Linked DNA regions of Oryctolagus cuniculus. The main gene of each other region encodes a partner of the protein of the gene in region 2 in a complex. Links are inferred from orthologs where the notes say so. Each region holds a gene or a part of one and is shown on either strand. Other genes may lie near its edges.

Region 1 (3,810 bases), on a different chromosome or scaffold from region 2:
AAATATATATTTGCTTTTGGTCCCCGTTTCCTGGCACACAGCTTCTAAAAACTCCATGGACTCTCTGAAATGATAAATGGTTTTTTGTATGCTAATGATTTACTGACAGAAGGCAGTCCCAAGAAGCTGCAGGATGGGCTGGTCACTGGGAATACCAAAGCAGGATTAGAGGTTTTAGATACTCAGTCCCAACCTCCAACCTCTAAGAGAGGGGCTGAAGGTCCAGCTGATCACCAATAGCCAATGATGTAATTTCCATGTAATGAAGCTTCCATAAAAAACCCAAATGGACACGGTTCTGGGAACTTCAAAAGAGCTGAACACTGGGAAGTTCCTCGAGGGTGGATGTCTGGAGACAGCATAGAAGCTGTGTGCCCCTTCCCACACACTCTTGCCCTATACATGACATGTCTTTATCTGTATTCTTTGTGGTATCTTTTATGAAGGATTGGTAAACATTTTCCCTGAATTATGTGTGCTGCTCACACAAATTAATCAAAGCGAAGGAGGAAGCTGTGGGAATCCTGATTTACAGCCATCTAGGGTTCCAACATGGGCTTACCACTGAATCAAACTAGGGAACATCAGCTGATGCCTCCTGCAGAACTGCTATTTGCTTGCTTGTGGGGAGAAATCTGCACAGCTTTTTCTGTCCCAGAAGTCTACTGTGTTGTGTGTGAGAAGAGAGGGAAGAACTTTGCTTTTCTGATAGTCATCTCCCAGCTAGAATAAGACTCCAAGTCTTGTTCAGTCTACTTAACTCTTTCTCAAACTCTACTCTTCCTCTCCATCCTCACTGTCACCATCATTCATTTATAATACTCTGGTTCAGCTTATTACAGTAACCTTTCAACTGTATTCCTGCCTCCAATGTGTGTCCTTTCAATTGTCCTCCTCATAGATACCAAAGCAATAAAACCTTCAGTCTGAATCTTACCATGATTTTTCTAGTTTAAACTTCTTCAATGGCTCCCATTGCTTTCTTCACTTAGGTTGGAAAGTAAAAAGCTGAAAAAATGGCAAGGGCAATTTCCCTTTCATACTACATTATGTGTTTAAAGGATAACCTAGTAACCTGCCTTTTGTGTTTGAAAGAATATTGCAAAATGTATCTATGACAGCACTATCTAAATAAAAATCAAGCCTAAATTTTCTACTCTTAATACTTCTCAAACTTCTCTTTGTCTCGTTTCTTGCATTACTGCTTAAATTGATGCCAAAACAGCTCTGAAATAAGCTATCCCTATATAGTCTCCTAACATAGCTCTGTGTGTATAGCCCCATTCCCCAGTCTATCCTTCACATTTCCAGCAGGTAAGTTTAGTCACATCACTTCATTCTTCAACTTATTCAAAGGCTACTCACTGTAGTTAGACAAAAGGCCCCAACACATCAAGATGAATCTTGATCTCTTATCCTCTGGCCCTTTCTTACCTGAAGGTTGTCATTTTTATCCAAGCATACATCATTATCATCCATGGAATTTGTTTTTAAAAAATCTATGTATGTGCCTGGCTTGATCCTAGAAACTGTACTGCAGCAAATATGAGGTGGGGCACATACTTCCGTATGTTGATAAAGGCACCAGATGTGATGCAGATGGCCAGGAGGAGGAAGCCTCAGCTCTTAGCAATACTCTCCCAACCATCATAATGTATCTGTGAGAACGTTTCATGGTTCTGTGCAGCATGTCTTCTCCCACCCTGAATCTACACTACTACTATTTTCTTTGCCAGAAATGTACCATGCTCTTCTTTGCCTAACTCCTTTTCAACCTGCCTAAGTTCATTTGCAAAGCTTTCCCCACAAAATTTTTCTTCAGCCCTCTTCAACCTGTGCTAGCTAAATATATTGTGCTTTCTTTATCATGACCCCTTAACACTATATTACTATGTAACACTATGTTACTGTTAGCTGCTTGAAACAAAGACAAAAGGTATTTCATCTTTGTGGCTCTCACATACAATAAAGCAATTTTGTACACAGCTGGAGTTCACTAAATAATTATTTATATCCTAACATTATGAAATAAAGAATTAGCTCCAGTTTTGGGTAAGGGTACTTAAAAACTTAAAAAGCTTTATGTACAGAAATACTGTTTTAAAATGTGCTCTAATCAAAATAAATCAGTTAAAATTATTTTTACATTACTTAAAAATGTTAGAATTTTTCTATCAGGATCCACTCTGCCTCTAAAAAGAAACTAACTGTACTCAGATGAGGCAAGGACACATATTCATATTAGGTACAATGCCAACAACACTTGGATCTGTATTAATCCTTTTCTCTGAAGCTGAATATGAAGGATGTGGACTTATTACTCACTGGAGACTCCTGGTGTATGGGCTCAGATTCCAGGTTGCTCTGGCATTCGGCGTGTTCATTAAGGTTGGCTGTTTCACTGCTGCTGGTGCTGAGGCTGCAGTAATCCGTAGTGCCATTTACAAGAACGCTGTGTGGGCTACTGCACCAATTTAATTGATTATTATGATTTTCCAGATCTTTCATTTCCATTAGTTTCATTTGCATCTGTCAACACAAAGTAGAAACACAGCAGAATTTATTACTAGAAAGACATGAAACGTAAAAACAGTTATCAATCTGGATTCGGTTGAGGATAAATGTTTCCTTTAAGGAGAATCCTCTGGGAGTGCAGCATGACTTAGAAGTTTTTGTTTTATTTTGTCTTTAAATTGATGTATTTGAAAGAGAGAGAGACAGAGAGTGAGCTCCATCTGCTGGTTCACTCTCCAAGTGCTTGCAATAATCTAGACTTGAGCTGAAGCTGGTAGTGGGAACAAAATCCAAGTCTCCCATATGGGTAGCAGAAAACGAATTATTCAGCCATCAGTGCTGCCTCCCATGGTCTGTATTAGCAGGAAGTGGAGCTAGGTATTAATACCCAGGCACTCCAATATGGGACTAAGGTGTCTTAACCACCAGGCCAAATGCCCACCCTAAGGAAAGACTTTAGTACCTTCTCCCAGTACGTCCTCCTCTTGAAATTCCAGTATACATGGGTTTGCTTTAGCACATCTTTTGAAATTTCTAAGAATTCTGACTAAAATATCTGCAGATTGGCAATGCTTTAGAGTATAATTAGAAAAAGATGAGCCAAGGTATTGAGGGAAAACATAACAAAATAACAAAGAAGAAATTTTGTGATGGAACTTTGATAAGTAAAGAAGTTCAGAGAGAGTCCTTGAAGCTTTGAACCACTCACATTCCTGTTGGGAATGAGGGTAGTGAAGACCAAAGAAAACTAAGCTAGTGCCCTCATACTCTGGCACTATTTATTAGTGGGTTAGAGCCCTAGAAAGTATTCTCAAGATCTAAGCTACGCCATACACATTAAATAAAGCTTGCTCAAAGTTTTATTTTGATCCCATCATCCAGGTGAATTTATACTTCTAAAACAACAGTGGAACAGAGAAGGTAGAATTCAACAAATTACATTTAAAAAGCAAAATGTAGGGGCTGGTGTTGTGGTTTAATGGGTAAAGCCACTGCCTATGATGCTGGCATCTTTTATGGATGCTGGTTTGTGTCACGGCTGCTCCACTTCTCATCCAGCTTCCAGCTAATGGCCTGGGAAAAGCAGCAGAAGATATCCCAAGAGTTGGGCCTCTGTTACCTGCATGGGAGACCCAGATGAAGCTCCTGGCTTTGGCCTGGCCCAGCCCTGGCTGTTGGAGTCATTTTGGAAGTGAAGTAGCAGATGGAAGATCTCTCTATTTGTGTCTCTCCCTCCAACTTTGACTTTCAAATAAATAAAGAAATCTTTTTTAAGCAAACCATTCTAATAGCTCA
Region 2 (3,810 bases):
ACCCCCAGGGCAGCCAACAGCAAAGGGTCGGCCTGGCCTCCATGGAGCCAACACTGCTGCCCCAGGGCAGACACGGGCCTGGAGAACGGTGATTCTGAACCAAACTTCGACAACATCTCCATTTTCATTCAAACTTCTAATTTCCCTTTAATGTACAGACTGAGCCACAGACTGCCTTGATTTCTATAAAAACTGGTCCCAGGATCCGGGCTCTCCTTGGACGGGGCAGGCCCCTGTAGTCCACACTCAGCTTTCCTTCTTACAACACACAGTGCGTCCCACGCGTGGCCACGGGGACAGGGCTGCAGGCGCAGGGCTGGGAGGCCCGTGTCCAGTGGCCGCAGGCCAGGGAGCAAGGACAAAGCACAGGGACGAGAAATGCACGAGACACGGCCGCCTTCTGCCGGGCCGGCTAGAACTGCTCCGACAGCAACTCACACAGCCTCTGGGAGACGGCCTCTCTGCTCGTCCGCAGCGTGAGTCGGTACATCTGAAACAGGACGCAGCCGGTCAGCGGGGGCAGCACGCGGCTCCCCGCAGGGGCCCTCCTCACTCGGCCAGCCCTGGGCTGCCACTGCGCCCCAGAAGCCAGAGCCCCAGACACGGGCAGAGGTGAAGGCGCCATGTCCGACCAGGACAACCGCCCGCGGCACATGGGGTGTGGCCCTGTGCGGCCTCGCTCAGAGTTCACTGTGCCCCCAACCAGGAGCCAGCAGCCACATCTGTGGGCACTGCCCACCTGGGAGCAACACGGGCAATCACAGGGCCCCTCCACCGGCCCAGGGCCGGGCCTGCCCCAAGGTGCCCTGTGGGGAGCTGGAAAGGGCGTGGACCAGCAGGGTGGAGCACCTGGGACAGAGCAGCCCCCGCGGCCCTCACCAGCGCCAGAGCAGCTCCCCCTAGAGGCCTCACCTGGGCCTGCAGATTCGGCTCCAAGCGAAGCAAGCATCCGATCTGGGTAGTTTTGGTGTGGATGATCCCAGCTCCCACGAAGTTGGCAGGATTAGGATCGACTTCTTCAAGGAGTGCAGAACCAAACCCAATGATCTGTCCAAAGAAACAGCACGGTCGGGACCTGGGCGCCGGGCGCCGGGCCCCAGGCGGTGCCTGCCCGTGACTGTCCCCACGACGCCTACCTTTGCTTTAGTGATCTCCGTGTCCATGGGATGCTTGGCTTTGAAGATGTTCTGCACCTCCTGCTGTGGGCTGCGGGACAGAGCCAAGGCGCTAGTCCTGGTGGCAGGGACAAGGCCCCTCTCCCCACTGGACTGCCCGCCTGCCCCCACACGCCCAGGCCCCGCCCACCCGATGGACAGCCCCGCCCTCTCACTTGCTCAGCTGCTTCCAGCGCTGAAAGAAATCCTGAGAAGCCATTTCTGTGGGCTGGAAAAACTTGTTGAGGGTGACGGGCAGCTTAACGGACAGGTTCTGAAACGTGCCCCCGTACCTGTGAGCAGCAGACGTGAGAGGGAGCGGCCGGCAGACACACCTCGCACGCCCTCAGCAACCAGGAGCTGCCGCCGGCCATGCAGCCAACAGGAGCCCCGCGGAGCGTCCCTGAGCGGGGGGCCGCAGGGAGCCGCACCCCCCGTCCACCCCCTCACTCAGGCTGGCTGGTGCAGGCCAGGTGCTGGGCCCAGGGCAGCCCCGCCCAGGCCCCAATCCTCTGAGGCGTGCGTGTGGCTTCTCTCCAGGCGGAGACAAAGAGCTTTGCTGAGAGCAGGGACCCCCCCCCGCGCGCCCCTGCGTGGCTCACTGTGCTTCCGCTTCCTGGACTTGAACCCCACAGCGCTCACACCCACACCTACCCCTTCGTGTTTCCAAAGACCCTGAGCTTGCAGACCGTGGGGACTTGTGAGACCCCGGCCAGGGAGGCCCCCTGCTCAGCACGAGCACGGCCCTGCCAGGCCCACGAGCTGCCCGCGCGGCCGCCAGCCCTCACCTGAACTGGATGTTGAGCACCGGCGCCTCTGTGAAGTCAGACACACACTCGATGTTGACCACCTGCTGCACCTGGGCGCCCCCGTCCACCGTCGGGTCCACGGGCTTGGTCTGCAGGTTCAGCTGTGTGAGCGTTAAGGACTGCAGAGAGGAGCCGGGGGCCCGGCTGCCCCCACCTTCCACACGGCACTTGGGCTGTGCCGGCGTCTTCACTGCGTGCCCGCGGCTGTGGTGTGCACACACACTCGTGAGAGCGGCCAGAGGGGAGCGAGTGGCCCGTGGCCCCGCTGCCATCACCCACGCAGCAGCAGCTGCAAGAACGTGCCCCGGTCCCACACGCGTGTCTCTGGGCAGCCAGACGGCAGAGGACACGCGTGTCTCTGGGCAGCCAGACAGCAGAGGACACGCGTGTCTCTGGGCAGCCAGACGGCAGAGGACACGCGTGTCTCTGGGCAACCAGACGGCAGAGGACACGCGTGTCTCTGGGCAGCCAGACGGCAGAGGACACGCGTGTCTCTGGGCAGCCAGATGGCAGAGGACACGCATGCCTGAGGGCAGCCAGACGGCAGAGGACACACGTGTCTCTGGGCAGCCAGACGGCAGGGAGCAGGGTCCTTAGGTGCATCTGACCAAATGCTAGCTTTGACACGGAAGAGATCTCCTGAGGTTTCTCTAGCACCTGGAAATGTCTGGCTACTTTAATTTAAAAACAGAAGAAGAAGTTACAACTTCCCCCAGAAGCCTCTGTCCCAGCCCTGTCTGGGGGCGGGGGCGGGGGCGCGGAGCCAAGGATATCAGACTGCAGGCTGTCTGAGCAGATTAGTGTTGGAGTAAAACTGAGGAACTGGGTGGAGGTCTTGTTGCCGTAGAAGATGAACATCCGACCTGGAAGCAGAGACGAGTGCACGGTCAGCGCCGTCGCCTGTGACAGCCGTGCGCCCGGCCCAGCACTGAAGACAGCGCCGGGCTCCAGCCTCCTGCTGCGGCAGACCCCGGGAGGCGGCGGCTCCAGCAGCTGGGTGCCTGCACCCCCCCCGGGGGGAGGGGGGGCTCCGTCACCCCCTGGCTCCCGCCATGGCCCAGCCCAACTGCTGCAGGCGTGGGATAGAAACTGCCCATCTCCCACTCCCTCTCCCTCTCCGCGCGAACAAAAACATCCAGCAGGGCCGGACACAGAGGTCGCCTCTCCTCTGCTGGGCCGTGGCTGCGGTCCTTCCTGTGGGTGCAAAGGACCACACAGGCGCCCACTTACACCACGGGCCGGCACGTGGCACAGCAGGTAAAGCCACCAACTGTGGCGCCGGCATCCTATCTGAGCACCACTTCTGATCCAGCTCCCTGCTACTGCGCCTGGGAAAGCAGTGGAGGAAGCCCAAGAACTGAGCCCCTGCACCCACGCGGGGGACCCGGAGGGAGCTCCAGGCTCCTGGCTTCAGCCTGGCCGAGCCCAGGCCAGGAGTGAATCAGTGGATGGACGCTCTCTCTCTCTGTCTGTCTCTCCGTGTCACTCTGCCTTTCAAACAAATACATAAATGTTTTTAAAAAAATGTTTACATCAGAATAAAACCTTTACACCCATCTTTACAGGCATTTTTCTGGCCTTCGAATTCAGAAAGGGAAAGGAAACGTTCAAAAAGGACAAGCACTTTGTTACACTGTAAAAACAAGCAAAAACCACACACGGTCACAAGGACCCACAAGAAACCAGGGGTAAACGGACCCTAGCTGCCTCCCGTGAGAGGGGGGAGCTGCTCGGTGCAGCGCCCCACACCCGGCTCCCGGGGCCCCACCTCCACAGCAGCTCCAGAGTGTTATTTTCTGGCTCAAAGGCTTTGCCCTTGCTTTATTCAAAATCGTAGCAAATCCACC

The links.
Region 1: the proteins of AP2A2 (region 2) and EPS15 are in contact, whole or in part, in a crystal structure (PDB 1KYU), measured with the Mus musculus proteins. The link is inferred for Oryctolagus cuniculus from reciprocal best matches to the Homo sapiens genes AP2A2 and EPS15. Residues at the interface, in XP_006536218.1 of Mus musculus: Phe442, Phe443, Trp446, Lys447, Asp487, Pro488, Val494, Arg511; in NP_031969.1 of Mus musculus: Asp629, Pro630, Phe631, Lys632.

The regions. Positions count from the first base shown.
Region 1 is NC_091438.1:121,548,528-121,552,337, reverse strand, and holds part of EPS15 (epidermal growth factor receptor substrate 15), read right to left. Parts: intron 2,530-3,810; coding exon 2,326-2,529; intron 1-2,325. UniProt on the Homo sapiens protein: Involved in cell growth regulation. May be involved in the regulation of mitogenic signals and control of cell proliferation. Involved in the internalization of ligand-inducible receptors of the receptor tyrosine kinase (RTK) type, in particular EGFR.
Region 2 is NC_091432.1:490,628-494,437, reverse strand, and holds the end of AP2A2 (AP-2 complex subunit alpha-2), read right to left. Parts: intron 2,827-3,810; coding exon 2,737-2,826; intron 2,067-2,736; coding exon 1,943-2,066; intron 1,448-1,942; coding exon 1,331-1,447; intron 1,207-1,330; coding exon 1,137-1,206; intron 1,048-1,136; coding exon 913-1,047; intron 491-912; coding exon 413-490; 3' UTR 122-412; downstream 1-121. UniProt on the Homo sapiens protein: Component of the adaptor protein complex 2 (AP-2). Adaptor protein complexes function in protein transport via transport vesicles in different membrane traffic pathways.